Xenopus tropicalis: one gene and its partners. The protein of the gene in region 1 interacts with the protein of each later gene in a pairwise test. Links are inferred from orthologs where the notes say so. Each region holds a gene or a part of one and is shown in the gene's direction. Other genes may lie near its edges. The genes, in order: eda, emp3, dolk, sec22a, leprotl1, pln and cyb561.

Region 1 (4,667 bases):
TGTGTATGGGGGGGCACTGTGTATGGGGGGGCACTGTGTATGGGGGTGCTGTCTATTGGGCCATCGTGGGCACTATTTTAACTAATTTAAAAATGGAGTGTGGCAATTGGGGCGTGGCCACAAAGTGGGCGTGGTCAAAATATTGTCCTCTTTTCATTTTTCAAATGTTGGGAGGTATGGCAGAGCACAGCATGCAGGGGAAGAGGTAAAATATAGCAGACATTTAAAAGGGGCCCTTATAAGTCTGGGAACCTTAGGCCTTGTTAATACGGCTAGAACTTCTAGTGGTACATTAATATTGTTTTGCTTTCAACTGATAAAAAATAGAAGGAAATAACATAGATTTATGTACCACTGGAATTGGCCCTGTTTATAACTTTGGCAAATGCACATAACTGTTGGCATGTCTGAAGTTGATATGCCCTTTATCAGTTTCATTTAGTAATTTTACTGGGATGTCTGGGGTTAATATGCCCTTTATCAATTTAATGTAGTCATACTGACACTTTTGAAGTTAATATGTCCTTTATTCTTTTTATTTAGTGATTATAATGGCACATCTGGGGCATGTAAAGAGGGTGTGGTATGTGGGGGCGTGGTCACAAAGCAGGCGTGGCCAAAAAAATTTCACCAACTACCCGCGTCACATATTTTTGTCCCTCTTTCTCTTAATGAAATGTTGGGAGGTATGCCCCGAGCTCGTAAATTTAACGAGTCAGGGGAGGAACGGTCGGGCAGAGGGAGCGCTGCAAGTGTCGGGTCTGGGCCGCTGGGGGCATTTATACTGATGTTGTAGAAGGGATGCATTAAGGCGACTTGGGGGCACATTGGGCTTCCAGAAGCTCTGTGTGTAAATGTATTTTTTTAATTTTACCAGCCCTTCCAGTAAAACAGGTGGCAATGCTACCTACAGGTCCAGTCACTTGCAGGCACCCTGTTTAGAAGCAAAAGTCTTATTGGTTGCTATGGGTTATTGCACCCAGGCATTTGGGGATATGTCTGCCAGCTGCAAGGACAGAGTAGTTTAGTAGTATGTACAGGCAACAACCATGCACCTTTTAAAAAGAATATTAATGCACAATGACAAATACGTTGTGGCACCACATAGTATTGTAAATTGTATAGCTTTACAGAATATAACCTGCGGCGTGTACTGTCATATATCATAACATCACTCAGCTGTCAAACATATTTTCACAACAGGGCGCTGAAGTTCCCTGCGTTTCCGACAGATGGCACCCTGCGCATGTGATCTTGGGGAGGAGTCGCTGAGATGAGACGCAGTGCATTTTGGGATAAGGCGCACTTTTATCTGGAAAAGAGTTCCCAGCTTTGCTTTGTTGTGGGCGGGGCGAGTAGGCGGGGCCAGTGTAAAATGCTGGGCTTAGGGGGGCGGTGGCTTTGAATGTTGGAGGCGTGTTTGTGGCAGAACTGGGCAGCTCGCCTGCTGTCCCGTCCCTCCCGCGTCTCCTCTCCGCCAGCATCTGTAGGGCTCGCCTCGGCCGCCACTCATGGCGCTCTAGTGGCTGCAGTTCCCCCCCACAGTCCCAGTGCGCCCTTGGGGCCGCTCCTTTCCCGAGCATGGCACCGCGGAGTTCCTCGGACAAGCGTGGCATGGACTCCTCTGACTCCTCCCTGCAGCAGCAGCCTGCATGTGCCTGTCCGAAACGTTGTGGGAGCTGCCGGCTCTTTCTGGGCTTTTTCGTCCTGTCATTGTCCTTACACCTGGTGACCATTTGCTGCTATCTGGAATTGCGCTCGGAGTTAAGACGGGAGCTGTCTAGGGGTTCGGGGACAAGTGAAGCTCCGGTAGGGACTTTGCAGCAGTGGAGGACTGCTTTGCGACTGGTTGACATGCAGCAGCCCAACGACCGGCGACAGGTACCTTCCACTCTTTCATTTAGTGGGAAGTCATTCAGAAATATTTACAGAAGTACAACTTTCAGCCCCTCCTACTCCACTTCTGGGAGTTGTAGTTTCACAACAGCACCAGGGGCCTCTGCAGGGAGAGATGTGCCTCAAGTTGCAATGGGATGTGTTTAGGGATGTGCAGCAACCTGTCACTCTTCAGCTGTTACATGAATGCTGTCAGTGCATGCCAGGGGGTGCTGGGGCATCACTTTAGATGATCAGTGTAGCGCTCCGGCAGGATTTCCAGTGGTGAGGATGCCCTGGAAGCTGGCCCATCTGGTACCCTTTGGGACATACAGAGGGGAGGACCACTGTCCTAGAGATGCTCACCTAAAACTGTCAATCATTATCTTCCTTATCAGGCAGCTAAATCAGTGCTTATCAGTTATGGGGATTCCAAGCTTACTAATGTGTGCTTTATCTGAACAATTCACTGCTACCTTCATTGTCTACAGGCATGTTAAAGAGATACATCCTACAGTGGTTAACTGCAACTTCCAGCACCTCTGGCACCCACTGACTGCTGCAGGATGTAAACCCAAAGCTATCAGTTTGCTTAATGAAAGAAAATGTCATTCTAAACAGCTTTCCAATATATCTAGTATAAATAAATTTGAAGCAACTGGACTTGTTTAGTAATCATTGAAGACGTTTCACTACTCATCCGAGCAGCTTCTTCAGTTCAGTTGAACTGAAGAAGCTGCTCGGATGAGTAGTGAAACGTCTTCAATGATTACTAAACAAGTCCAGTTGCTTCAAATTTATTTATACTAGATATACCATGACCTGGATGAATGAAAATCTTCATAGACAGCTTTCCAATATACCTTCATTCTAAACGTCAATGATTTCAAAGTTATTTGTAAAAGTAATACCAATAGAGATAGAGAGAATAGAAAGGGACTGCACTCTGTAGCAATTATACAATACATATATATTGGAGGGTTGCTTTGCATAACAAGTACCTTAATTAAGCAAAATTATATTTGGGTTTACATCCCCTTTAGCGCCTGTATCAGATGATACCATCATTCTGCTGTGTTGAGCCTATGTATGGTGTGCATTGGTGGCAAGCTCTTGTATGTATTTGCATAGCATGGAAAATATAATATATATAAGTGGTAGTGGACTGAGCAAACACCTTACTGTTGTAATGGAAAGAACAATCTCCTGTCCTTTGTTACAAGAGAGAAAAGTGGATTTAGTCTAGTAGAATGCAAACTTAGCCTTTTGCATCTGAATGGAACAAACCAAATGGAACTACATAAGTTTATTCTTCTTGCCATGTTAATATTTACTGCTAAATTGTATATTAGATTGGCCCCATTGCTGTTTGCTGTCCGTGAATTAATGGAACCCTGTTTGGTGTTGGTATAAGGGTATCACCTAGGATTGTAAATGCAGATGGTTTATTTACAGTAATGGCTGCCATGCATGCATTGGTATTGCCAACTGTGCTTGTATAGGCAGCTTTTAGAACATATTGTCCTACAATTCCATTAAATTGCAGTTGGTCTGTCCAGACTAAAAATGTGATGGTTCTTGTTAATGAACATGAGGCAGTGGCAGTTTTGGAAGTGAGATGGGACACAGCTCATTTAGTGAATCAGAGCCATTGGGCTATCCATGAATGCAGTAGATTTGGAAAAGAGTGGGACTGCGGCTCTGCCAAACAAATGAGCAGTTCTATTCAGCAAGCCACATGAGTTGAAGAATATTTGCCTGGACAACTTGATACATCTCTAAATTTTACTTTTGTATGGCCAACCAGTGAACTAATTCTCTGCCTTTTGTGGTCACCATTAGAACTGGCCCTCAGGCAGTTGTACTGGAATCACTGAACCGCAGCATGTCTCGCAATTATTTTTGTGTGACTGCCAATGGTTTGTGTGAATTTGCAGTTCAGTAGAAACCATTCATTTGCCCCCCAGCTACAGGGGCATTGTATTCAACTCTGTAGTGTTATTCTAAGTAATACCCAGAATCCACTACATGAGTTTGATTTTACTTAGAAAACCGTTGATTTGGCGATGGCGTGATTTGCTTAGTTGCAAACTCGATAAACAGAAATATACAGACTATTTCTAAGCAAACAGGATCCAAATACACAGAGATGAAGACCAGATGTACCCAAGTCTTATACCTTGCTTTAAATCTCATACCCTGGCGAAACTGTGTGATATGTCTGTTCTGTAACTAATGAAACCTCTTTCCCTAATGCTTTCGTGCAACTGCCATATAATGCAGTAAAAAAAATAAACTCTTCTTGAACCAGAGCTTAACAGCTGACCCGACTATTTAGAAGTTTTCTGTTGGAATGGAATAACTTGCCCCTTGGGTGTTGGTGCACAGATGATGACTGTGAATTTGGCAGGTATCGTATTCTCTTGTTAATTTCTCCATAGCTCTATTGAGTGCAGGTGGATTTCTCTTTATGGACTGAAATTATCTGATTGCTGCTTTTGCCAGCCATTCTGGGTGACTGAAATGGTATTGGATTGCAGCTAGTTTAGCTGTGATAACATGCAGTCTGCCCATCACAATCTGGAGTTGTGGTAGGTCACTGGCCCACAGGAAGCATAAGGGGTTTCACCCTGTGCAATCCTGCTGGCTGACTTATCAAATCAGGGCAATTTGTTTTTTTGTGGTTGCATCACATTCAGCCTGATTAGTCAGCCCATAGAAATTTGGCCTGCGTGTGGCCAGATAGTAATATTTTAAAGGGGGAACTTCACTTTAAAATTAAAGTAACGTAG
Region 2 (3,868 bases), on another chromosome or scaffold:
CCAAGGGGTTGGGGAGCAACATGTTGCTCACAAGCTACTGGTTGGGCATCACTGCGTATTATCCATACATCAACCAAATGGCATATATTTGGCCATATCTGGATAAAACAGAATGGAAGAGAGAGGAATAGAACATTAATGTAAGGAGCAAACTTGGAAAACTGTGACCCCCTCCCCGTTGCACACTAAACTGATTGTGTCCATAGCCAGCCCAAAGGAGTGCAAATATTCCAAGTGTTCAAGCATGGAGTTGGCAATGAGTCTTGTAGATGAAATTCAAACCTTCATTTGCTCCAATACAGTCATTGGAAACTTTACACCATACAGGAATAAGCTGTTCATAATTCCATTAGAGTTGTTAGAGGAAGGTTTTGATTCCAGTAGGCTACTGTACTGGTGAAGTGGCACCTAAAGAACTAAAATTCTGCAAATATCTGATATTTTACTGTTATGACCAATGTTCAGTCTCCTGTTTTTGTCTTTGTCAAACCATGTATGCTGATAATACCGTACAGCAGTTATAGGTCCCATAGTAAAGACCCTAAACATCAATTTATTTCCAGTTATGTTCCTAGTGAAGAGAATGACTAGAAGAAAAACACAAATGTTGCTGCAGCTTGAGGGAACAAAATATTAATCTCACCTTGTCTTCAAATGTGATAATCAGATCTTATCACCGGCTCTACCTCTTTGGTTTAATTAAAGAAGAGCAATTATCATAGCCGGATTTGTAGAATATTCATGGCTGCCAGTTATTGCTATTCCAACAGTTATCAGATGGCCTCGGGTTTAGAGACTGAGATATTCAGAGGCACAGATGCCAAATACATTGTCATTGGCCGTCTCTGGTTACATGTGTGACCATCAGAGATCCTATAGAGGTCAGCACAGAATCTAAAGGGAAATACTGTTATTAGCACACAAATAAATATACACTTTTAACCAGGGATCTACCAAGTCTATATTTTTTGGTTCTATGAACTACTATGAGCAATAAAAGAGCAAAAGCTTATAGTCTAGAGGTGGTGGGACTGGAATATCCTCTTTGTCATTGTAAAATATATTGCTAACTGTATGTAATTGTATGTAATACTATATATATTCTCTTTCTTCTAGAACTGAAGATGAGCTTCCTACTCTTTGGCGTCACTGCCTTACATCTCATCATACTGGTGATCCTCTTCGTTGCCACACTTGACAATGTAAGTAAAACAAAAACAAAGACAGGGGACAATTGTACGCTGAGTAGAACAAATGTGTTCATTTTCTTCACCCAATGAACACAAATATACTAGTCCTGGTGGGAATGTCCCTTCTAAGCTCTGGCAGTTGTGGAGAGGTTTCCTGTGCATATACACACATATATATATATATAATATAAAACCACTTTAGAGTCCGTGTTTATACAATGTGCAGCTGAGACCGACCCAGCACATTGGCCAGTGTTGCATGCAGTTTTTAAAATGCTGGTTTTGTACATACAGCCTACTAGAAGGGAACATAGCCTGATGGACTGGGTCAAGAGCATGATATTGACTGGACTAAAGGGGACATACCCTCAAACATGAAGCAATAAAATGCCCTCCAGCATGTTGCACCCTATGTGCTGAATCTGTGCCTGTTGGTTTAAATTGGTTATGTATCTCTTGTGGGGATAACTAGCTGCTTCTTGATTAATTTTATTTGGAAGCTTGTAGGATTTGATCAGTTTTACCATTCATTACCCTTAATGGAATAAGGATAGAAACTATAGTACTGAAATAACCCACTTAATAACATTCTCATTCATCCAAGTCATGATACACAGTATCTAGTAGAATTAAGTCTCGAACAACTGGACTTTTCTGAGTTTTTCTTGAAAACCTTTCACCACTCATCCGAGTGGCTTCTTCAGTTCAAATGACTGGTAGGGAATTCCCCGGTATTTAAACTCTTGATGGTAGTACAGTCACAGACATCCAATCACAATGGTTCCATTGAACTTGTTCAATTAGGGGTTGGCTGAAACTGACAGGTGTAAGAAGGTATGATACAATCACAATGGTTCCATGAATCTCATTGATGCAGGTGTTAACCCTTCAAAGAACATGAAGTGTGAAAAGTTGCGAAACCGCCGGGGTAAGGATGTCAAAGCAGCATTGTATGTTGATGAGAAGCGGTGTCTAAACAGAGGAGGGGGCCTGTGACACCACTTGTCATCAACATGAAATGTGAAACGTTTTCAAGAAAAACTCAGAAAAGTCCAGTTATTTAGACTTAATTCTACTAGATACTGCTTCTTGACTAATTTTATTTGGAAGCTTGTAGGATTTGACCAGTTTCACCTTTCATTACCCTTAATGGAATAAGGATAGAAACTGAAGTACTGAAATAACCTTCTTAATAACCCTCTCATCTTTGTGCTGTCTAGTCCTGGTGGGTATTCTCTGAAGAGGAGACTGTGAACCTCTGGTACGACTGCCTTCTAGACAACAACACGGGAGTCTGGTTGTGTTCTTCTGTATCTACTAATGGTAAGGCATCACTATAACTAGGAATATTAAAGCTCCTGCCCTCCATTTTCTACTCCCACCCACCCAGTAGGCAAAGTCTGAGGTTCTACACCTGCAAATTAGATATGGTTGGTAACAAACTGAAAATAATAATAATTGTAGTCAACATAATCAGGTATGGCACTGGTCATGTGTAGGTCAAAAAAAATAAAAAGTCATCCCGCACTCTGACCAGTCCACTCCCAACCCGGCGAGCTGTGATTATTTATATACCCACACCCAACCCACTGACATCAGCGGAAGGGGTGGGGCATGTGTGAGCATATAAATAAGCATCCAACAGACAGCTGGAGGAGAACTAGCAGTATGTTGATGTCATGGGTGGGGAGGGTGGTGGTCAGAATTCTACCTGCATCCCGCTAATCCACAGGTTTCAGGCTTGCCTGAACATCACTAGTTAGAATATATGAAAGAATATGTAGTAATATACACAGATTTATAAACAGGTTTTAATACAGTCCCACATTAATGCAGTGTTTCTGCAGACTGTGTGAAGTCATTTGCTTTTGTATGCAGGGTGTCTTAGAGAGAACGTCTACACTTGTCCTTTAAAGGGGAACTCCTCCCCTGCTAGGATTTTAAATGATGCAGAAAGAGAAGAACTGTTCTGGATTTCAGCATATAAAAATAATATAATAATATAACAGATTACAGTGATAAGTATTTAGGGGTTTCTGTGTTGTGTTTAACAAATTTGGTTCGGAAGCTGGAGTTTCCCTTTAAATATTATTGTTCTACAACAGTGCTATTAGAACAGAAACATTATAATGAAAATATGTTAAAAATAAAAGTATAATAATGTTGTTCAATTACTGAAACATATATATATACAAAGTACGTAACCCATAGTCTTTGGAGAACATTTGTCGAACATTATGAAGGCAAAAGAGAGAATCATATCCAGGCTGCTGATATGCCTGGAGGCTTTAAAAAAGGTTAGAATGAGAGTAAAATTTACATTTATGACCAGTACTCCTAATTCAACCCTGGAATTATGTCTATTAAGGCTTTCATTCATGGGTATGCTGTACAGTACAGCGTGAAGTAATGATAGGTCTGATTTAGACTTCCCACTAGATACTGTATATCATGCCCTGAACTGAAACCTTCTGAGACACATCATTCAAACCCAGGTCTCCTTGAAACATAGGCTGCTGCCTTAACCATACTCTCAGTTATCCTGTAATGGGGCAGAAGCTAACATAAGCCTGTTTCTCCTAAGAGGGGGAACAATCAGGTTCATGAATGTTGCTTCCACTATAGTGTATATATCTAATTATCTAATAATCTAATTAGATTTTTAATGGGGTGCTTTC
Region 3 (4,894 bases), about 21 Mb from region 1:
AGCCAGGCAGGGGGGCAACTCTGCCCTGCCCCCAGCCAGGCAGGGGGGCAACTCTGCCCTGCCCCCAGCCAGGCAGGGGGGCAACTCTGCCCTGCCCCCAGCCAGACAGGGGGGCAACTCTGCCCTGCCCCCAGCCAGACAGGGGGGCAACTCTGCCTTGCCCGCAGCCAGACAGGGGGGCAACTCTCTGCCTTGTCCACAGCCAGACAGGGGGGGCAACTCTGCCCTGCCCCCAGCCAGACAGGGGGGCAACTCTCTGCCTTGTCCACAGCCAGACAGGGGGGCAACTCTCTGCCTTGTCCGCAGCCAGACAGGGGGGCAACTCTCTGCCTTGTCCGCAGCCAGACAGGGGGGCAACTCTCTGCCTTGCCCGCAGCCAGACAGGGGGGCAACTCTCTGCCTTGCCCGCAGCCAGACAGGGGGGCAACTCTCTGCCTTGTCCGCAGCCAGACAGGGGGGCAACTCTGCCCTGCCCCCAGCCAGGCAGGGGGGCAACTCTGCCCTGCCCCCAGCCAGACAGGGGGGCAACTCTGCCCTGCCCCCAGCCAGACAGGGGGGCAACTCTGCCCTGCCCCCAGCCAGACAGGGGGGCAACTCTGCCTTGCCCGCAGCCAGACAGGGGGGCAACTCTCTGCCTTGTCCGCAGCCAGACAGGGGGGGCAACTCTGCCCTGCCCCCAGCCAGACAGGGGGGCAACTCTCTGCCTTGTCCGCAGCCAGACAGGGGGGCAACTCTCTGCCTTGTCCGCAGCCAGACAGGGGGGCAACTCTCTGCCTTGCCCGCAGCCAGACAGGGGGGCAACTCTCTGCCTTGCCCGCAGCCAGACAGGGGGGCAACTCTCTGCCTTGCCCGCAGCCAGACAGGGGGGCAACTCTCTGCCTTGCCCGCAGCCAGACAGGGGGGCAACTCTCTGCCTTGCCCGCAGCCAGCCAGACAGGGGACCAGGAGAGTCTCTGCCCTGTCCAGGGGACCAAGTCCAGGAGAAAACACTATCATTTTGCTTTTGCAAATGACTTATACAGTGATTAATCCAGGTCTCCGAACGGCACAACACGGCTTGCTTTCATCTGAAGCATGTGCCCCTGTCAGAGAGAAAATGGTACAGTCCGGTTAGCCCTGAGAAAGTTTCTAACCGCTCTTCTAATGTCAGTGCCGGATATTTCCATTCATATAACCACATGGCCATATAAAGCTCTCCCCATATAGCGCCGGGCTGCCCAGCAATATTCCTATTCCCTGTTGCTTCCCACATGGACTGACTCACTCGCACTGACTTCCCTCTGTCCCCTGGGAACCAACTTCCCTCCCTTCTCCCTTTAAATTCTATATATGCTGCCGCTGCAGCTTCCAGTGTCGCTCGGAATTCACATCCCCTTCCAAAACCCTCCTCTCCCCGGTACCTCCGGTACAGACACCCGGCCGCCGCCATCTTCACGCCCCCTTCACGGCCTCACACGTGACGAGCCCAAGCCCCCCCCCCACTTCTCCAGCAGCGCGGTGCGTATATCACGTGATGCTCCTGCCCTGGCGGAAGTCAGCTGATTGGGTGACTGCACTAGTGCTCCTCCGCCCGGACTAAAGATGGTGGCGGCCAAGGTAGGTGAGAGAATGGAAGCTGCACAAAGATCTTTCACCTTCGCCCTAACCCTGTGTCACTGCTGCCTTGCCCATATATTGCCCATATACCCCGTATGGTGTTCTGCTGCCCGGAGGCTTTTGTTGTGTTGTTATGAGTTAATAGACTGACTCATTGTTTGGAGGGCACTTCCCCTAATGCATTACTGCTGCCCTCGTCCCAAGGAGCAAGAAGGCTTCCGCTAATGCAATTGAAAGGAAAAAATCCTATTTATTGGTTTAACATTATAAACTGTCTGTAGCATACAATGATCTGAATGTGGTGTTACAACCCATGTTACATTAGTAGATATAGTTCTCCTCCATTCTGGTTAATGGGCACTAGACCCTAATAAATGATGTATTTAATCAATATGTTCGTTTTTACCCTGTTCTGGTATAAAAAGGGTGTTTCGTTTGAAAGGAGTCCTGTGTAGCCATGGGGATTGCTGATTCTGGGACCTGTATGGTGGAATGGGCCTTATTTAACTATAAACAAAATATTTCTATTTGATCCCTCAAGTGTATTCTCTTTCTATTTATAATAATCCATGGGCTGGTTTGCTCAGTGCAGTATCCCATAGCAACCAATCAGCCATTAACGTGGACTATTCCTCTGAAGGAAAGAAGAATATCTAAGTTTATCTCTGGTTGGTTGATGGGTCTTGCTGCACTGACTTATTTTATATTATGATATGATTTTCTCGATCATCCAGTGAAAACATTTGGATCAAAGTTAGAATATGGTGCAGGTGTGTTCTGACTGTCCAGAAGAGAATGCATTGGGTCACACACTGGGCATTCACATCCAGAAGCCCCAAGCACTCAACTTATATTCCCACTGCATTTGATCTAAGGTGGCTGACTTGTATAATAAATAAAGGGTAAATCATTGGGTTGGAGAGTAATTTGTTAGGCACCCCCACCCCCCCAGTAATTATAATCGCTAATTGCAAGCACCTGCCCAGGGCAGCAGAAAAGATTGCTGGGAAGGATTGAAATGGAGGGGTGTCTTTGTAACTTACATATGGAATGTTTTGTTTGTAGGTGTGACCAATGACTGTATGTACAAAGATCATGCAAACCAAAGAAGTGGCCATTTGTACATTGAGATTCAGTTAGCATATCGGCACTTGCAGAAGAAAGGAAAGTAAGAGATCTGGCACCCGCAGGCACCATGGTGAATAAACTGATTGTAGCCGAGTCTCTGGTGGTGTTTGGCATAGTCCTAAGCATTCACGCCGTGGTCTGGGACCGCTTCTCGTGGTGCACGTTGGCCCTAGCCATCCAGGCTTTTTACGTGCAACACAAATGGGATCGCCTCCTGCAGTCAGGAGGGGCAGTGTTTCAGTACCGATCATCTGCCAACAGCGGCCTCCTTCCGGCCAGCATGGTTATCCCACTTCTGGGTATAGCAATGAGAGAAAGGTGTAAAATATCTGGAAGTGTGTACTTTGAACGCTTTGGAGTGGTCATATCTGCTACCGGCATGGCTCTGGCATACTTCCTGTCCATCATCGCCTTGGGTATCACTAAACCTATCCCTAGAAACACCTGCATCCTTTCTGGCATTGCCGGCAGTGCCATACTCTACACCATGAAAAATTCCCTGGCGGTCTCTGAAGTCATAGAAGTCCTGGAAGTTCTGCTGATCTTTGTGTACCTCAGCATGATCCTTCTGTACCTGCTCCCACGATGCTTCACCCCTGGGGAGGCACTGCTCATCCTAGGAGGCCTGAGCTTTGTGCTCAACCAGCTTATCAAGTGTTCTCTCACTTCTGCGGGGGGCAAGGGAGACCCCATTGATTACCTCCTGCTGGTAACATTGGTTGCCTTGGTCCTGGTGGGAATTATCTTCTCCATTCTCTTTGTGTTTATGGACTCCTCCTCATGCACCTCCGCCCTGTTTTTCTACATGATGACCACTGTTTTGGCTTTAGGGGTCTTTGTGCCCTGGCTGCAGTACCTGATACGTAGACACCCACTTTTATGGCTGCTTGAGTTTCTGGTGCAGTCCCACACTCGGCTATACTTGCTGGCCTTCTGGCTGCTTCTTGCACTTATTGCGTGTGTTGTGGTTCTGCACCAGAATTCCAAGAGGTCTCCAGACTCAAAGAAGCTTCATGTTTCAACAACGATTCGCAAATACTTCCACTTCCTGGCTGTGGCTACCTACATTCCTGGACTCCTATACGACCGGCAGCTACTGTACGTGGCATCTGTCATTTGCTTGGCAGTGTTTGTACTCCTAGAATACATGCGGTATTTCCGGATCAAGCCCTTTGGGCAGACTCTACGAAACCTGCTGACTCTGTTTCTGGATGAACGGGACAGCGGCCCCCTTATTTTAACACACATCTACCTGCTGCTGGGCATGTCACTGCCAGTGTGGCTGTTTCCAAGGGTCTGTGCCACTTCCCTTACAGGCTCGTCCACGTTACTCCCATATGCAGGCGTACTGGCTGTGGGTGTAGGTGACACCGTGGCCTCTGTTTGTGGCAGTGCTATGGGTGAGCTAAGGTGGCCTGGGACAAAGAAGACCTTCGAGGGGACAATGATGTCTATATTCGCTCAGATCATTGCAGCCGCCCTTATTCTAATCTTTGACAGCAGCGTAAACCTAAACAGCGGCTATGTCTGGATTCTGGGGTCCATTACTCTGGTGTCGCTGCTGGAAGCATTCACTACACAAATAGATAATCTGGTCTTGCCGCTGTACCTCCATATACTGCTAATGGTATAAGGGTGGCAAGAAGAAAACATGGCTCTTTGGCAGAGCATCGGTATAGCCATTTTTAAAAAGAAAAAGTGTATTTTCATTAAAGGGGGCATTTATCCTATTTATAAGTAGCATTTTTTCCCCTATTTATCAAAGAGGTACCCATGGGCCGCCCCTTAAAGTCATGGGCCCGAGGGTTATTTTATGGTAGATACGGCCTTGCTCACCCCTAGCTGTTTAGGAAACACAAATGCTACTGAAAAAGTGGTTATATGCCCCCTTTAATACATCCCTAAATGCTGCTTCCTCAAGTAGTACACCTTTAAATTAACTTTTAGTATGATGTAGGCATTGATATTCTGAGACATTTTTGCAATTTTTTTTTCACTTATTTATCAGCATCTCTCCAGTTTGGTATTTTAGCAGCTGTCTGGTTGCTAGGGTCAATTTTACCATAGTAATCGGGCAGTGCTTTGAATGAGAGACTGGAATATTAAAAGAGGGACTGAACGGGAAGCTAAGTAATACAAATAATAATTCAACTGTAGCCTCACAGAGCAA
Region 4 (4,229 bases), on another chromosome or scaffold:
AAGCAGGGCAGGACTGCTGCTTACAATGGGGGGGATAGGATCTGTGCCACTGTGACAGAATGCTCTGTTATACAGATAGCTAGAATCTCAGCCATAAAGCAGGGCAGGACTGCTGCTTACAATGGGGGGATCAGATAGGATCTGTGCCACTGTGACAGAATGCTCTGTTATACAGATAGCTAGAATCTCAGCCATAAAGCAGGGCAGGACTGCTGCTTACAATGGGGGGATCAGATAGGATCTGTGCCACTGTGACAGAATGCTCTGTTATACAGATAGCTAGAATCTCAGCCATAAAGCAGGGCAGGACTGCTGCTTACAATGGGGGGATCAGATAGGATCTGTGCCACTGTGACAGAATGCTCTGTTATACAGATAGCTAGAATCTCAGCCATAAAGCAGGGCAGGACTGCTGCTTACAATGGGGGGGATCAGATAGGATCTGTGCCACTGTGACAGAATGCTCTGTTATACAGATAGCTAGAATCTCAGCCATAAAGCAGGGCAGGACTGCTGCTTACAATGGGGGGATCAGATAGGATCTGTGCCACTGTGACAGAATGCTCTGTTATACAGATAGCTAGAATCTCAGCCATAAAGCAGGGCAGGACTGCTGCTTACAATGGGGGGATCAGATAGGATCTGTGCCACTGTGACAGAATGCTCTGTTATACAGATAGCTAGAATCTCAGCCATAAAGCAGGGCAGGACTGCTGCTTACAATGGGGGGGGATCAGATAGGATCTGTGCCACTGTGACAGAATGCTCTGTTATACAGATAGCTAGAATCTCAGCCATAAAGCAGGGCAGGACTGCTGCTTACAATGGGGGGATCAGATAGGATCTGTGCCACTGTGACAGAATGCTCTGTTATACAGATAGCTAGAATCTCAGCCATAAAGCAGGGCAGGACTGCTGCTTACAATGGGGGGATCAGATAGGATCTGTGCCACTGTGACAGAATGCTCTGTTATACAGATAGCTAGAATCTCAGCCATAAAGCAGGGCAGGACTGCTGCTTACAATGGGGGGGGGGATCAGATAGGATCTGTGCCACTGTGACAGAATGCTCTGTTATACAGATAGCTAGAATCTCAGCCATAAAGCAGGGCAGGACTGCTGCTGCTATAAATGCCCCAGTGGCTTTGTATTATGTTACTTTGTGTGAATGCTTTGTGAGACCCCATTGTGCCCATAGTAATGGGGGTATAAATGCATATAAAGCCCCCCATGAGCCTGTGTATAGGGGCAGGACACATATGTTTGGGGGGGGGGTGAATATATAATAACAAGGTACTGAGTGTATCTGTGTGTATATCAGCTCGCCATTCCGGGAGATGTCACTCATCCATTTCGCTTCGGTGGTGCGTGTAAGAGACGGGCTCCCACTCTCCGCCTCAACCGACCATGAACAGAACACGTCCGTGCAAGAGACCAAGAAATACCTGAAAGTGCTTTCCAAAAAGCTGGAGCAGCTTCCTGATAGGTGCACACTGAGGAGAGGGCCCCATAATGTCCAGTAAGTAATTGGGGTGCTGCGTGGGTGCCGGGCATGTAATAGGGTTCCCTCTGGGTGGGCAAGAGAGCAGGGTCTGAGTGTGTAAGGAAGTAAAGGGTAAATCTGAGCAACCAATCAAGTTTTTTTTTTTTCCTTTTAAAGGGGAACTAAAGCTTAAAGGAATACTGTTATGGCCAAACCTGTTTGTTACAAACCCATCAGTTATTAGAGCTTCTCCAGCAGAATCCTGCATTGTAATCTGTTTTCCCATGGGGCTAGCCATATTCTTCATTTCCCAGGGTGCCACAGCCATGTGACCTGTGCTCTGATAAACTTCACTCACACTTTACTGCTGCGCTGCAAGTTGGAGTGATATTCCCACCCCCCACCCTCAGCAGCCAATCAGCAGAACAATGTGAAGTAGGAGAAACAATAAGTTGGTACAGGGGGTGGGGATATCACTCCAACTTGCAGCGCAGCAGTAAAGTGTGCCTGAGTCTGAGCTTTCAGCCAGCGCTACACATTAGAACTGCTTTCAGCTAACCTATTGTTTCTCCTACTCCCATGTAACTGGAGGAGTCCCAAGCCGGACTTGGATTTCTTACTATTGAGTGCTATTCTGATACCTACTGGGAGCTGCTATCTTGCTCCCTTCCCATTGTTCTGCTGATTGGCTGCTGGGGGTGAGGGGGGGGGGATATCACGCCAACTTGCAGCGCAGCAGTAAAGTGTGACAGTTTAGCAGAGAACACAACACAGGACACAACGCACGCACTCACGCTCCCCTAATGAAGAGCAGATGGTGGATCTGACATGGAGCTTGTGCCGTCTCTCCCTCCCCAACAATATCCTGGAATTATTGTATTTTTCATGGGGAAGGTCCTGGAATGGGTTAAGGAGAAGGGCAGATACATTTGTAGATGAATAGCCCTGTCAATGGTATTTATGTATAAACAATTAAATCCCTTTTCCTTATCCAAATCCACGGTTGCTAGGGTGAGGTAGCCTATCAACCAGATAGCAGTATATAAAACACATAGCTCCCTGTATCCTTGTCTATATATTATTGAAAGTCATTTTTTTTTTTTAACTTCCCCTTTAAACCTTTGTCATTGATTAATCCTTATTCCGACCTTACGGGAATTTATCCGCAATCGGATAACGATGATTTTATTCATTATTTGCAGTTGGTTTCTGCCCTTTCCCAGAGCGCTGGCAGTAATATTCCTATTAAATACCATTTTTGGATAATACCCCGACTCCCGGCGACCTCCCTCCCTCTCTCATTGATCGGATTTGTTGTTTCTTTCATATTGATTTCCTAACGAGATCTGTAGCACTAATTCCATTAGCTCCCCTACTGGCTCTGCTCATTTAATTAAGAACAACTTGTATTTTTCTGGGAGATTTTGAGTACATTTCCTGCGGTTCAGAATCATCTCTACTGTTTATTATTATTATTATTATTGTTATTAAAGATTTAATGTTTTGTGAGTGAGGATTTTCTGTAGGTTTCAAATTTAAAAACATTTCTGTAACATTAAACCAATGTACATTTATATCACTGGTGTCTCACATTATGAGTTGGAATTTACACCCTGGTTATACCGGGCTGCTCTCTTTCCCATGGTCAGACAGGAACTTCCCCCTGGGTAAGTGAATCCAATCTCCCCCCAGTACTTACCCAGGTACAGAGCTCTGATTCTCTGTACTTCCTGCTCCTGGGCTGCTCTCTTTCCCATGGTCAGACAGGAACCTCCCCCTGGGTAAGTGAATCCAATCTGCCCCCAGTACTTACCCAGGTACAGAGCTCTGATTCTCTGTACTTCCTGCTCCTGGGCTGCTCTCTTTCCCATGGTCAGGCAGGAACCCCCCCTGGGTAAGTGAATCCAATCTCCCCCCAGTACTGACCCAGGTACAGAGCTCTGATTCTCTGTACTTCCTGCTCCTGGGCTGCTCTCTTTCCCATGGTCAGGCAGGAACCTCCCCCTGGGTAAGTGAATCCAATCTCCCCCCAGTACTTACCCAGGTACAGAGCTCTGATTCTCTGTACTTCCTGCTCCTGGGCTGCTCTCTTTCCCATGGTCAGGCAGGAACCTCCCCCTGGGTAAGTGAATCCAATCTCCCCCAGTACTTACCCAGGTACAGAGCTCTGATTCTCTGTACTTCCTGCTTCTGGGCTGCTCTCTTTCCCATGGTCAGGCAGGAACCTCCCCCTGGGTAAGTGAATCCAATCTCCCCCCAGTACTTACCCAGGTACAGAGCTCTGATTCTCTGTACTTCCTGCTCCTGGGCTGCTCTCTTTCCCATGGTCAGGCAGGAACCTCCCCCTGGGTAAGTGAATCCAATCTCCCCCCAGTACTTACCCAGGTACAGAGCTCTGATTCTCTGTACTTCCTGCTTCTGGGCTGCTCTCTTTCCCATGGTCAGACAGGAACCTCCCCCTGGGTAAGTGAATCCAATCTCCCCCCAGTACTTACCCAGGTACAGAGCTCTGATTCTCTGTACTTCCTGCTCCTGGGCTGCTCTCTTTCCCATGGTCAGGCAGGAACCTCCCCCTGGGTAAGTGAATCCAATCTCCCCCCAGTACTTACCCAGGTACAGAGCTGGGCTGCTCTCTTTCCCATGGTCAGAGAGGAGGGTTTTCTATTCAGCTGCCTAGGAGATGGGGCTTTAATCTCTATCAATGTGTTTATTCCCTTACAGCTTTATCAGCTCGCTGGGGGTGGGG
Region 5 (4,981 bases), on another chromosome or scaffold:
CAAAAAAACAAAACACAAAAACTATATATTATTTGTGATTTACACAACGGGCAAAAAATATTTTCAGCAAAAGCCCTACTTATTCAACTTGCACAAGAATAAGGAAGGCTCAAAACAGTCATTCAAAACAGTTGCAGAGGAGACATTTTGACACCCCTGGTGGTAGACACTGCCATTATGTTGTGAAAAATTCTTATTCCTCATATATGTGAATCTTTGGGTTTCCACTGCCTGCACACACACACCACTTGCACTCACATTTCCTATTATCATATATAATATATGATATATATTATATATTATCATAGATAATGTAAGTCAGATAATCTATGTCAGATAATTACTGAACCCATTTTCCCCAATAGTGCAACCCTTTATACACCCAAAAATACAAACATACTTGCTTCAACAAAAGCTTTCAAGGCTTCAAGTTGTTCTGGGCCAGGAAGTTGGAGTGCTTTATCTAATATTTGTCGGTACCTATAAAACATGAAAGATAAATTAACCAGCACTTAGAAAAACAATGGGGGATAATATAGGAAAACATATTTTTGGCTTCTTGGACTGTGTTTTTGCAACTCCTGTCAAGTAAAGCTTGAATTCAAAATCCTGGTCACTCTATAAGGTTTCAGTTTCAATTTAGGTTTTTATTTCCACAATATACTTTTAGCTACTTGGTGCAACTACCGTCCACTAGGTGCTTATTCCCCCTTCCAATTGTTCATCACACTAACACTCATATCTGACAGTTATCTAAATATACTAATTTATGTAGATAAACAAATATTAATGGTTTACATTAATATGAATATTAATTACATTTGCTTATGTTTGCCTTTATCTTCTTTTTTTAAATAATTTATGAATAAAGTGATATTTAAAAAATAACAGGATAGGATGGAAAGTGCGAATGCAAATTATCCTAAAGGTGTAAATAAGTATAATTATGAAAAGTTAAACGACACATAAGAAGAAGAAAGTATGAATGGCTGGGTGAAATGTAAGACATAGAAATAGGGGATTAAAGGCAAAAAATTGTGATAGGTATGAGGAGGAGATATAATGAATGAGGAGTGGGAGATCTGTAAAGACTGTAATAGCTGCAGTTTGTTAGTATATCTTCTACTGGGGGAATTGTTTTCCTCATGTGGCTGCAAATGTACAGTAGGAACATCTAATCTGTGCAGTAGAAATGTTTTATTGAACTTGAAAAAAACAATTAAATGAAATTGAAATCATAAATACCAGACACCTCATCACGGAACTCCTTGACTGATTTTACATTTATAATGTCAGATCTGGTTTATATTTACTTGTTCACCTTTTCTATCCATGCTAAGCCATACATTGGCTCGCAGATAACAATTCAATAAGCGGTAACATCACTCATCTACACACAATATAATCATTTCCTTTCTTTCATTTGAACATTTCTGCCCAATAGAATTTTTGACTGGCACTAAAGCCCCCTCAGAGCACTAACCACAAGCATATGCACACTTATTAGTTCCTACGCGCTAACGTAAATGTGTCCCAAAAGTTCTGTTAGCGGCAAACTCACTTTCCGGCGAGATCCTTATGCGATCCGCTAGAATTCATCAGTTGTGTAAGGTCTTGTCTGACAGAGGCTGCCATCTTGCTTTCTGCTCGGACACACTGAAACCACTCGGAACTATAGCGAAATGATTCCGGTGTTGCAGTCACGTGACCGCTTAGTATAGGACCTGCGCTACGATAGGTTAGGCGCTCAGACAGGAAGTGAATGGTGGGCGGAAAAAGATGGGTTGTGACTACATGACCGTGACGTCACGAAGGTCCCTTCCGAGGATAGGAACTAGCCGCTACAATGCGAAAATCGCTCCATTCATTTTTCTGAGAGGTTGTCCCCTGGTTTATTTGTGTGGGTTCTGAACAGGTCCAGAAATTCTTTCGCTCCTGTCTGCAGAATATTCGCTTAAATCTCTTCTGCTGCAGGACCTGTGTGCTCAGCTTCATGGCAGGCATAAAAGGTAATTGCCGCGGATTAAATCGATGCAAGCATCAAAGCAATATGTACTTGACGCTCTCGTTTGTTTATGTTGCTTATACATATAGCTCACAATACATGTAGCACGATATCTCAGCAAATTAATGACTGGAACAAAATGTTCGATATTTGTTTAGCTCTGTACTTCAAAGGGGATTCATGTTGGTAGATTTTATTAGCTTTATTTTTCTGGTTTCTGTAGTATAGTGTAGTGTAATATTTTGCAGTCTCTTTGATGCCTGGACAAGAATTTACTGGCACAAATCGTACTTTAGAACGTTTGGTATTTCTAGAAGATCTCCACACAAAAACAGCATTTTGCATCATGGAAGACTTGGGATACTATGCAGCTTTGAATCATTCTACACAAAAACAAACCTTTTTTAGGTGGAGTTATCTTTAGAGAGAGACTGTTAATGTTTAACAATCCTGAAGGCTACTCTTGTTTATAAACACAGCAAATTGCAATAAACTGGGCATACTGAACAATAGTGACTACAGTAAGCTAGTAATGCTAGTTAGTTGGAGATGGGTGTTGATTTTTTCCTAACTCGCACATCACTAGTTTGGTGCTGTTTTACCAGTGCATAATGGTGCAAAGTTATTTACAATGTAAGTCACAATTATGAGTAGCTTAATTGGTTTATATATCCATTCTAATAGTAAGTATAAAACACTTTAACTGCTCTATAGAATGTAACTTTTGCTGATTATTGGGATACTATGCAGCTTTGAATCATTCTACACAAAAACAAACCTTTTTTAGGTGGAGATATCTTTAGAGAGAGACTGTTAATGTTTAACAATCCTGAAGGCTACTCTTGTTTATAAACACAGCAAATTGCAATAAACTGGGCATACTGAACAATAGTGACTACAGTAAGCTAGTAATGCTAGTTAGTTGGAGATGGGTGTTGATTTTTTCCTAACTCGCACATCACTAGTTTGGTGCTGTTTTACCAGTGCATAATGGTGCAAAGTTATTTACAATGTAAGTCACAATTATGAGTAGCTTAATTGGTTTATATATCCATTCTAATAGTAAGTATAAAACACTTTAACTGCTCTATAGAATGTAACTTTTGCTGATTATTGGGATACTATGCAGCTTTGAATCATTCTACACAAAAACAAACCTTTTTTAGGTGGAGATATCTTTAGAGAGAGACTGTTAATGTTTAACAATCCTGAAGGCTACTCTTGTTTATAAACACAGCAAATTGCAATAAACTGGGCATACTGAACAATAGTGACTACAGTAAGCTAGTAATGCTAGTTAGTTGGAGATGGGTGTTGATTTTTTCCTAACTCGCACATCACTAGTTTGGTGCTGTTTTACCAGTGCATAATGGTGCAAAGTTATTTACAATGTAAGTCACAATTATGAGTAGCTTAATTGGTTTATATATCCATTCTAATAGTAAGTATAAAACACTTTAACTGCTCTATAGAATGTAACTTTTGCTGATTATTGGGATACTATGCAGCTTTGAATCATTCTACACAAAAACAAACCTTTTTTAGGTGGAGATATCTTTAGAGAGAGACTGTTAATGTTTAACAATCCTGAAGGCTACTCTTGTTTATAAACACAGCAAATTGCAATAAACTGGGCATACTGAACAATAGTGACTACAGTAAGCTAGTAATGCTAGTTAGTTGGAGATGGGTGTTGATTTTTTCCTAACTCGCACATCACTAGTTTGGTGCTGTTTTACCAATGCATAATGGTGCAAAGTTATTTACAATGTAAGTCACAATTATGAGTAGCTTAATTGGTTTATATATCCATTCTAATAGTAAGTATAAAACACTTTAACTGCTCTATAGAATGTAACTTTTGCTGATTATCTGTATTCAAATTTTTGTGCTGCTAACATCAAAAGCAAGCACTACCTGCTTGAGTGGTGAACACCTTTTGCCAGGAGGTGCACATGTTCTTCTTTTTGCCATAATATTTATTTCTGAAGTTGCATTTGGATTTTTGTTGAATGAAGTGGTCAAGCTGTCATCTGAGACACAAGAACAAACAGGGGAGATATTTTCTGTATGTTTTGTCTGTTAAAACCTTTTTTGGATGTCTGCTTTTTTTTTTTGTTTTTTTTTGTTCACCATATAGTTACAAGAAATGAGAAGATTTCAAAAGATGCCCTTCTAGTTGTCTTACAGAAATCGGCACTATTCAAGAAAGCAATGCATTATTTTACCGTTATGTTAGATTCCCTATGGGAATAGCTGGCTATTTGAGATTATTCGGGTCATCAGACTGTCATGTGACAAGCTGCTGAGCGAGAGTAACTTTTTTTAATTCCTTAGACAGCGATCCTATTTATTACTCTGAAGTCACAGAGAAAGAACTTTGTAATTCACTTTTTTTTTTTTTTTAAATATAGTTTTGCACTGTTTTTAAATATATAACCATTAATTTAGGTGTGTGTCAAAACATTGGTATGCTAATAGGAGCATCAACTATGGTTATTAAAGGACAATGTAACATTTGGAAATACATTGGATAAATATGAAAGCTGCAAAAATTGCAGCTTTAATGATGCATGTCTAGTGTTTTACTAAGTGTTAGTTCTTTTGAGGAAGACCCGTCAGTGAATTTTCCTGTCCTTTAGCAGAAAGGTGTACCTATAAATTGTCATTTGGTGTAGCGATGTATGGGGTTGACCTGTGATCCATAGTTTGCCATTGGGTCTGGTAGGTTTGGGTTACAGTTTGGGCAGCCATTGCAGGTTCCGGTTGGGTGCAGGTCAGACTGGGAAAGTACACTCCTCTGTTCCTGAAGATAGCCTTGGAACCACAGATACACACACAAGCAGCATACGGAGTGGGAAGGTGGAGGTCCTACAATGGCAACATTCTGAAGGTTATGGATGGGTGTGGATTAGGGTCTGGGCTTTTCCTAACCCACATATCAATAGTTTGGTGCTGTTTTACAAATGTATAATT
Region 6 (4,940 bases), on another chromosome or scaffold:
TTTCAAGTGAAAATGTAATGATATTGTAACACAGCATAAAAGGTTAATTTTCATCATATTTAATTATCCAATTGCTTAACTTATACTGTCTTATTTTCAATGACCTTATAAATGTATTACTTATATATTGAAATTTTTTTGTATGCCTTAGAAACTCATTTTCTGTTACTCTTCTTATAAATTGTATCATGGTCCTTTCTAGCTAGCAGATAAAGAGTACAGAGTTTGTCAGGAGTCTTGAGGAATAATTCCTCTGATATTCATCCTTTATGTGCCATAAAGCAAGATAGGGCTGTTGTTAGAACTAAAAAGGCAGAATAAACACCACTTTATAACAGGGTACACTACAACTACAAAAGGACACATAAAAAAACTGTGTACATGATTATACTCAAGAACATTTTTTGAAAGCTTAAATAGTTCCTAAGCAAAGTTTCTATAGATGTCAGTGGGAACTGTCTCAATTAAGTTTATTTAATTTATTTTTTTCCCAGTTGAGATTTCCAGCCTTATTCAAATTGACTATTATTATTTTTCAAAATGGCATACCCCTCAATAGAGCAGTTACCACCACCTACTAAGATTTCTTTAATGTAATAACACCTGACAGATCACTCAGAATTATGGTTAATTAGTTCATCTCTATATCCTAAGCCAGGGGTCATTAGACACTTTCAAATGTAAAAAGATTTGGGGAGGAAAACAAGCATAAAAATATGCACCTGGGGTACTAAATAAGGACTATGATTGGTCATTTGAGATCCCATATGTGGACTAGTAGCCTACAGGAGAGTCTGTTTGGCAGTACACCTGGTTTTATGCAACTAAACCAAGGCAGAAATTTAAAAATAAGCACCTTCTCTGGGGCAACTGGGAGCAATATCTATGGGGCTGGTAAACAACATTTTGCTCCCAAACCAGTGGTTTGGGACCACTCCTAAGGGCTCTGGCACACGGGGAGATTAGTCGCCCGCGGCAAAACTCCATGTTCGCGGGCGACCAATCTCTCCGAGTTGCCTTCCCCCTGCATCCCACCGGCGAACATGTAAGTCACCCGCGAACAGGGAGTTTTGCCGCGGGCGACTAATCTCCCCGTGTGCCAGAGCCCTAAACCTTTACATGGCTTGTTAATAATGCTTGCCATTAAGAAATACTTTGCATTTTAACTGCCACAATAAAGCTTTTTCACACAAGTGTGACAATACATTTTTCTGCAAAGTCCATTGTTAATAAGAAGAAACAAGTACACAACCACTTGTAGCAGAACAGAAAGAGAAGTCGGTAAAACAAATGCAAGATTTCACATACACAAAAAATATAATCTATAATTATATTAGTGGTCCCAAATGAACATGTTTTATCTTAAGCTAGTATTTTCTTACAGCTTTTATCCAAAAACTTTAGTGCAGATAATTAGGTAAACAACAGTTGATTTGCATTTTTAGAACTATGTCAATCAAATAGCCCATTCGTTTATGGGAAGAACTGCAACAGAGAACTTGCAGGCACATAACAATTATTATGTTTTATCAGTTCATCTCACTCTAAGGGAACTTTTGATTAATTCTAAGGAAGGAAACCACAGCCAATCTTAACAACAAACTGCAAAATTCTTTCCAAATATCAGGAGTCCTGCCTCTCACTGCGATTCTGCTTCCAACCACCCCTCACTCTCTCATTTCCACACCTCCTCAATTGTTGTAATAAACTGAGCGACAGCCCCCAGCCCTGCCACTGAGCTCAAGGCAAGCTGCCGAACACTTCCCACTGCAAAACTACTTACTAACAACAAAATTTCAATAAGGTAAGGGCATCTGCACTGTGAAACTAAATAATATTGCTTTTTAACATGCTTTGCATGTTGGCTTGCAGATCAAAGCAGCTTTATCCTGATACATACATTTCAGTCTGCAACTAAAATTGTCATCTAATTTACATGTAAGTGATATGAGTAGGTTTTAATTTTCAGTCTGCAATTCATTTATTTGGAATTCCTATTTTCAGCTAATAAAAGAAAAAGAAAGGTATTACAACCAGTTGTATAAGCTTGGGATTATTTGCAAAGATATGCAGCATCCATATTATATTTAGCTGACTGTCTCACAGACAATTATGTCCCTTGTGGGCTGTAAAAATATTGCTCTTTTAACAGACAGCTGCCAGCATTCTAGGGGGTTCTGGGAAATATAGCTTTTAACAGCTGGATGGGCTCTTTGACGTCTGTAGAACAGTATATAATGTAAATTATATTTATTGTAAGAAAATACTTTAATGTATGTCAATAGAATAATGGAATACATTTGTCAAACTCATCAGTTCCCCATGTCTTGGAACTTCAGATGTATTATTTTTAGGGCTGCTGAATGCAAATAAACACTGGAAATAGTCATGTATTTCTAATGCTGGGAAGCATGTTTGTGATAGCATGGGGAGGTCAAAATGTTAATGAGAAAGGTTCTCATAGGCATTTAGCCTGGAAACCAAGCCAAAAACTATGGAAGGAAATGTAATTGAGGCATTACAGCACAAAGAAAAAAAAAGTAGGGGGAAATATTTTAGTAGAGTGTTGGAAACTGGAAAGTAAGTCTGAGCACCATAGCCTATATTTCCTATATAGTATCACAAGGGCAAAAAGTGGCCCACATAGCAACTTTTTGAATGCTCTATGGCTCACTGTAATTGCTTACTCTGTTTAGATCTGCAGACGAGCAATTTTAAAGAGATAGAGTCTTGAGACTTTGCACCCTGTATATAAATGAGCAAAGCTTTAGCTAGTTGTTTTCTTTAAGCTCTGTATATACAGGCATTTGTCTTGCTGTTGGTGATGCACTTCCCAGTGTACACATTTACCACAGATGAACACTGTCCAGAGGGAGTGCATCTTCAGATCAGCATGACATGTTTCAGCTCAGTTCACCAGCAGGCAACACAGAATATAGAACATCAAAATGGCTCATTATGCAAAATATAAATACCACTATAAATAGTCACTGTTGGTGGTGCAACATGTTCCCTGGATACCTGGCCAGCCATTTACCATTTAAATAAAAGATCAGGACTCAAACAGTCCAATTTTAATTTACCCAACACCAATAGTGACCAAGGGGGTATGACCTTCCTTCTTCAGGGTATGTGATACATATATAGATTGAAACAAATATTGTGGAAATACACAATAATTTATAAGTGTAATAATTTCTTCTATTTTTAGATGGATATTCAGCTATATATTAGCTGTATTTTACCTGCATGTACAACACTAATTATAATGTTGCAGTCTTTTCATGAAACTTTCATGTCAAAGGGAGGAGCTGATTTTGGGTGCTTTTCAACCAGATAAAAAGGGTAAAATAAAAATCACACTGTGTGCCATCAAACTAGATATCCTTCAAATGCAAATAAAACAAATGTGGTTAAAATCCAATGCAGCAATCTGCATCCAAATGTTGCTTTTACATAAGAAGTAAGGCCAAGTTTGGGCAATCTACAAACCTCCAGAATTTGACTTAATGGCTAGCCCAAGATCATGAAATACTTTACTTTAGAGGGGAGTGTTGTTTGTGACATTCCTGGCCAAGCAGTAGTTAATACCTAATAACATAATCCTTTTGTTTACCAGGAATAATTTCAAGAGCCAGGCGGAGTAAGGGACTATTGGCCATGGCTCAGGGAGTACAAGCTATCCCACATAACAAACAGCACAAATAGTTTCATAATTTCTCCACTGGTGACCTTTTCCAAATCCAATATGATCTTTAGCCTACCCAAGGGCTTTAGTAAACTATGAAGGGGCATTCTTGCATCAGCCTTATTTTATTTCTTTGTAACGATTTCAAGTTTAAAAAAAAAAAAAAAAAAATAGTGGAAAAGAAACATTTTAATAAGTGGGTTAACCCACCTCCTATATAAAGCATGATAAAATTGTTTTGAAAGACAAATGTAAAAGTTTATTACAATAATAAAAAGAATACACCCTTATTACACTTTGCTGTCACTGTAAGCTTCATGAATGAACTTACTTGTGTTTGTTCACTTGAATTTATTTAACCATGACCTTTTACAAACGTATCTTATGTGAAGAGCCGAATGGGAAAAAAAATTATACTTTTGCTGGCCAAAAAAATCAAGACAAATGCTGGAATGCCTCCTAGGCTTTACTAAGCAATAGCTTTAATAATGAATCATCTCTCAGACAAGGATCTTACACAAAAATGGAAACAAGTATCTTTTTCTAAAAACAGTATATAACTTATAACCTTAACTCATCAGTACAATGCCTCTACACTACAATGAATTTGAAATTCAGTAGATATTTACTTTTGGTAATCTGCACATCAAACGGTCTGTCCAGCTGGAGGCCCATGGGCTAGATGCAGTCCTCTAAGTTATTTTTTGCTTCATGGACATATCTGAATGAGCCTGTGATATAAATGGGCTACACATATGCATTTAGAATTGTGTGTAGTTTGATTTTTGTGTTAAAATATTTCAGAGGATGCAAATAACTCATAGTATACAACTCTTTCCTGATATAACATGAATTAAGACTTTTTTTTTTTTTTTGTTAGCTGATCCTTTAGCTAGCAGCATATCATGTGTACATGCCATGCACCCCCAATACTCTCTGGCAGAAAGTTTCCAGTCTAGTGTCCTCCTACAAGTTTCAAGCTTCAAATTATATATCTCTAGAAAGCTCAGTAACTTGTGTAGTTGGTACACAGCGTGGCCTTGTGTGTTCTGGCCTTTATTATAATAAAGGTACAGGCTGTAGGTACATGGAGTAGCTCTTGGTACTGTTACTTGTTCTTCTAGTGCATGAACATACAGGACACACAAGTAGCATACAAGGGACCACAGACACTGGGGCTGCTTGCTAGAATTATGAAGAATTTTTATCTTTATTTTTGTCCCACTTTAGTTTCACTGAACAGTCAACCACA
Region 7 (3,739 bases), on another chromosome or scaffold:
ATAAAGGCACAAGGCTGCAGGCTGAGTTATACAGGGTACTCTGAGTATCACTCATGAATTATGAGTTCCCTGTATAACTCAGCCTGCAGCCTTGTGCCTTTATATGGGCACAGAACCCCTCAGTGACTGCTAATATCCTTATCATTTACAGTAGGGGGTACATTATCCCTTATAATATATGAGTGATACTCAGAGTTCCCTGTATAACTCAGCCTGCAGCCTCCTGCGTGGTCACAGGACCCCTCAGTGACTTCTAATATAGAGTACAATTGATTCTATTCAGTGGTGTGTTTGTCTTGAAGTGTGCATACTTTGTTCTTGTTAGCCATTTTTAGTTCAGCAGCTCTCCAGTTTGGAGTTGTAGCACCTATTTGGTTGCTAGGGTCCAAGTTACCTTAGCAACCAGGGAGTGGTTTGAAAGAGAGGCTGGTATATGACTAGGAGAGGGCCTAAATAGAAAAATAAATTATAAAAAATAATAAAACTGTAGCCTCACAGAGCAATAGTTTTTTTGCTGCTGGGGGTCAGGGAACCTCATTTAAAACCTGCAAAAGTTTGGAAAAAGAAGGCAAGTAATTAAAAAACGATAAATAAATAATGAAGACCAATTGAAAAGTTGATTAGAATTAGCCATTCTATAATACACTAAAAGTTGAAGAGGTTAAAGCTACGTTTTCAGCGGCTGACACATCTCCTGCGTGGGTGGTGAGGAAATGATTTCTGTTAAAGCTCTTGGGTAATGTCGCTTGTAATATTTGTATCCCATTTGCTAACACCAGTAGAAAAGAGCTACCTATTCATAGTAATACTATGGCAGGCTAGTTTGCTTCTGGTTTGAAAGGAGGACACTGGGACATTTGTGGCATGGCAGCTGGTGGCTAGTGGACTTGCTACACACAAAGACAAGAGCAACTACAACACAGGGCTTAATACCTAGCACACACAGCAGCCTTGCAGATGGAGCTTCATTTTCGATACAAAAAAAAAAAACATTCCACTTAGCCCCACTATACAAGTTCTATTTAGATATAATCCATTTTGACTGGGATTGCACAAAACATGCAACAGAACCCTCAGGAGAGAGGTTATATATTTTATAGAAATCCACCGCACTGGCAGATCTTAGCGCTGGCTAGCCTTGCCCACACAGTATGAGCCGGGATCAATCTTCCCTTCTTTCTGCACTGATCAGTACAACTTTTAGTTTGGTTTGGGTAGGAACTTATTCAACTTCTAAACAAAGAGCCCTGGCTGCTTGCTATTGTTTGGTCAGGCTTCGCCTCACGGTGTATAAATAACTGGAGGGTGCCACACCTGTGCAGGGAAAGGGCACGTCAGGGAGAGATCTAAGTAACCGTCCTTTGTACGGTCTATGCAAAAAGTGTTTGTGTGTCAAGGCTGCAGGCTAGATTATACAAGGAACTCAGAGTATCACTCGTGTATTATAAGGGATAATGTACCCCCTACTGTAAATGATAAGGATATTAGAAGTCACTGAGGGGGTCTGTGACCATATAAAGGCACAAGGCTGCAGGCTGAGTTATACAGGGAACTCTGAGTATCACTCATGTATTATAAGGGATAATGTACCCCCTACTGTAAATGATAAGGATATTAGCAGTCACTGAGGGTTCTGTGCCCATATAAAGGCACAAGGCTGCAGGCTGAGTTATACAGGGAACTCTGAGTATCACTCATGTATTAGACACTCAGAGTTCCGAGTGCCTTTTTATGGTCACAGAATCCCTCACTAATTTCTAATATCCTTATAATTTACAGTACATTATCCCTTATAATACATGAGTGATACTCAGAGTTCCTGTATAACTTTTTTTTGTAAATGGAATAAACACCAATTGGTGACTTGTATGAGTTACTTTCTAATACCAATAAGGATGAATATATTATATATAGAGCTTATTGTCTATAGATATATGCAGAACATACTGCGTGTTGTATACATGATATATTACAAACTATTAAAATATATACTTAAAACAGGGACTACTCACAACGGCCAGCAGAGGGCGTCCTGGTCAACACACTGGGAGTGCTGCTAGTGGTATTCGGAGCAGTTATTGCCTACATCCTGACACGAGAGGAATGGAGGCGCCCACCTCTTCCAGAGGAGCAGGCCCTTTCCATGGACTTTAAGACCCTCACTGAAGGAGACAGCCCAACTGATCAGTGAGCCACTATGCCGAGCTTAGACTGACGCGCTCTACTGTCCGAAACCTCTGATGCTGCTTGTGATTGTAACTTATGTACAGCTGGGACCCTCACTGCTACCTGTCCCTATACCGGGACTACTATGGGATGTGGATTCTGACAAAGCAACATTTACACAGATGCAGCCTTAAAAATGCTGTTGTGCCCACACCTACCTATGGGTGCCAGCCTGTGCCAATTTTGTTCAACAGTTCCTGACAACCAAACCCTGTTAGACCATGCCACTGTAATTTGCTTGCCAAGGCCACTGATCCCGGCATCAGAATGCAGTTTAAGTGCCAGGATGGAAAAAAGGTAATTATTTAGAAGATTGTCTATGGGAAATATTCATATTTATTGCAAGTTTATTCCTGGCCAGTCACCTGACAGCTAGCATTCTGAAGTGTTAAAGGAGAAGTAAGGCTTAATCATCAGTCTGATGCCCCTGCCCACATCTTTGTGAGTGTCCTCCTTCTGCGCTCTACTTCCACTCCTAGGTTATGTGCCAATTGTATCCACTGGATGTCTGTGCTAATAAATGTTCAACATGCACTTCTGCCTATTTGCTTATGGGAGATTTAATCCATAAATCTTTTGGAAAAGAAGAGAAGGCAGGCAGCTGTAAGAGGGTGCTGGGGGTTATAGTGCCTGCCCCAATAGAGCTTACAGTTTAGGCTGATGCCAGACCTGGCGTAGGGCTGATATTTTCGGCAAGCAGAAAAAACGCTTGGCGAAAATACAGCCCTACGCCTGCTACTTGTGCCTGCACCCAAATGAATGAGATACACTCGGGTGCAGGCACATGTAGCCGATATACGCATGAAAACGCAAGAGAATGCAAAGTCTCCGTTTTCATGCGTATATCGGCTACATGTGCCTGCACCCGAGTGTATCTCATTCATTCGGGTGCAGGCACAAGTAGCAGGCGTAGGGCTGTATTTTCGCCAAACGTTTTTCCGCTTGCCGAAAATATCAGCCCTACGCCACGTCTGGCATCAGCCTTAAGCTCCTTATCACATTCACACATACACTAGGGGCAATTTTATCTTGAGCCAATTAAACTGCTTGATGTTTCTCAGGTGGAAACCCGACATGGGGAGAACATAGAAACTCTTAGCCGATTGTGCAAGGAGTCTCACTTAGGATTCAGACTAAATAATGTAATCAGAACAAAATATAACACTTCTATGGAATCCTATGAAGAATTCCACTGTATTTGGAATTTACTTTTAGGTAATTAAGGACTGTTGGTTACCTACCTTGTTACACAGAATCTGCCATGTTGCTGTAGCTGCAGTTCTCTTTTTGCTCAGTAGAGGGAGCTCCTGCATCACAGCCATGATCCCATTCACTTGCCCTTTGGCCACTAGTGATGATGGCTCAGTAATGCGGGTCCCTTTTCTGCTTACCTTTTGCAAAGCACTGTCACTGTTACTGTCTTGCTTTATGGCACAATTCTTGGTGCCTTCAGCAGTCAGAGATCACTGCATCATTTTGAGCCAAAGTAGATAAAATATTCAGTTCAGACAAT

Evidence for each region.
Region 2: the proteins of eda (region 1) and emp3 interact in binary tests that used the Homo sapiens proteins (3 or more experiments, as listed by UniProt). The two-hybrid records come from large-scale screens. The link is inferred for Xenopus tropicalis from reciprocal best matches to the Homo sapiens genes EDA and EMP3.
Region 3: the proteins of eda (region 1) and dolk interact in binary tests that used the Homo sapiens proteins (3 or more experiments, as listed by UniProt). The two-hybrid records come from large-scale screens. The link is inferred for Xenopus tropicalis from reciprocal best matches to the Homo sapiens genes EDA and DOLK.
Region 4: the proteins of eda (region 1) and sec22a interact in binary tests that used the Homo sapiens proteins (3 or more experiments, as listed by UniProt). The two-hybrid records come from large-scale screens. The link is inferred for Xenopus tropicalis from reciprocal best matches to the Homo sapiens genes EDA and SEC22A.
Region 5: the proteins of eda (region 1) and leprotl1 interact in binary tests that used the Homo sapiens proteins (3 or more experiments, as listed by UniProt). The two-hybrid records come from large-scale screens. The link is inferred for Xenopus tropicalis from reciprocal best matches to the Homo sapiens genes EDA and LEPROTL1.
Region 6: the proteins of eda (region 1) and pln interact in binary tests that used the Homo sapiens proteins (3 or more experiments, as listed by UniProt). The link is inferred for Xenopus tropicalis from reciprocal best matches to the Homo sapiens genes EDA and PLN.
Region 7: the proteins of eda (region 1) and cyb561 interact in binary tests that used the Homo sapiens proteins (3 or more experiments, as listed by UniProt). The two-hybrid records come from large-scale screens. The link is inferred for Xenopus tropicalis from reciprocal best matches to the Homo sapiens genes EDA and CYB561.

The regions. Positions count from the first base shown.
Region 1 is NC_030684.2:43,623,253-43,627,919, forward strand, and holds the start of eda (ectodysplasin-A), read left to right. Parts: upstream 1-1,351; 5' UTR 1,352-1,581; coding exon 1,582-1,881; intron 1,882-4,667. UniProt on the Homo sapiens protein: Cytokine which is involved in epithelial-mesenchymal signaling during morphogenesis of ectodermal organs. Functions as a ligand activating the DEATH-domain containing receptors EDAR and EDA2R. May also play a role in cell adhesion.
Region 2 is NC_030683.2:115,864,468-115,868,335, reverse strand, and holds part of emp3 (epithelial membrane protein 3), read left to right. Parts: intron 1-1,116; 5' UTR 1,117-1,124; coding exon 1,125-1,202; intron 1,203-2,410; coding exon 2,411-2,513; intron 2,514-3,868. UniProt on the Homo sapiens protein: Probably involved in cell proliferation and cell-cell interactions.
Region 3 is NC_030684.2:22,852,868-22,857,761, forward strand, and holds the start of dolk (dolichol kinase), read left to right. Parts: upstream 1-1,509; 5' UTR 1,510-1,596; exon of another isoform or gene 1,597-1,600; intron 1,601-2,661; 5' UTR 2,662-2,791; coding exon 2,792-4,357; 3' UTR 4,358-4,894. Other genes in the region: nucleoporin NUP188 homolog, read right to left, coding at 1,401-1,429. UniProt on the Homo sapiens protein: Catalyzes CTP-mediated phosphorylation of dolichol, the terminal step in de novo dolichyl monophosphate (Dol-P) biosynthesis. Dol-P is a lipid carrier essential for the synthesis of N-linked and O-linked oligosaccharides and for GPI anchors.
Region 4 is NC_030685.2:88,978,749-88,982,977, forward strand, and holds part of sec22a (vesicle-trafficking protein SEC22a), read left to right. Parts: intron 1-1,321; 5' UTR 1,322-1,337; coding exon 1,338-1,519; intron 1,520-4,204; coding exon 4,205-4,229. UniProt on the Homo sapiens protein: May be involved in vesicle transport between the ER and the Golgi complex.
Region 5 is NC_030677.2:83,711,665-83,716,645, forward strand, and holds the start of leprotl1 (leptin receptor overlapping transcript-like 1), read left to right. Parts: upstream 1-1,795; 5' UTR 1,796-1,993; coding exon 1,994-2,009; intron 2,010-4,981. Other genes in the region: cops4 (COP9 signalosome complex subunit 4), read right to left, coding at 401-480, 1,562-1,635. UniProt on the Homo sapiens protein: Negatively regulates growth hormone (GH) receptor cell surface expression in liver. May play a role in liver resistance to GH during periods of reduced nutrient availability.
Region 6 is NC_030681.2:73,814,874-73,819,813, reverse strand, and holds the start of pln (cardiac phospholamban), read left to right. Parts: upstream 1-1,697; 5' UTR 1,698-1,804; intron 1,805-4,940. UniProt on the Homo sapiens protein: Reversibly inhibits the activity of ATP2A2/SERCA2 in cardiac sarcoplasmic reticulum by decreasing the apparent affinity of the ATPase for Ca(2+).
Region 7 is NC_030686.2:16,658,730-16,662,468, forward strand, and holds the end of cyb561 (cytochrome b561), read left to right. Parts: intron 1-2,001; coding exon 2,002-2,191; 3' UTR 2,192-2,760; downstream 2,761-3,739. UniProt on the Homo sapiens protein: Transmembrane reductase that uses ascorbate as an electron donor in the cytoplasm and transfers electrons across membranes to reduce monodehydro-L-ascorbate radical in the lumen of secretory vesicles.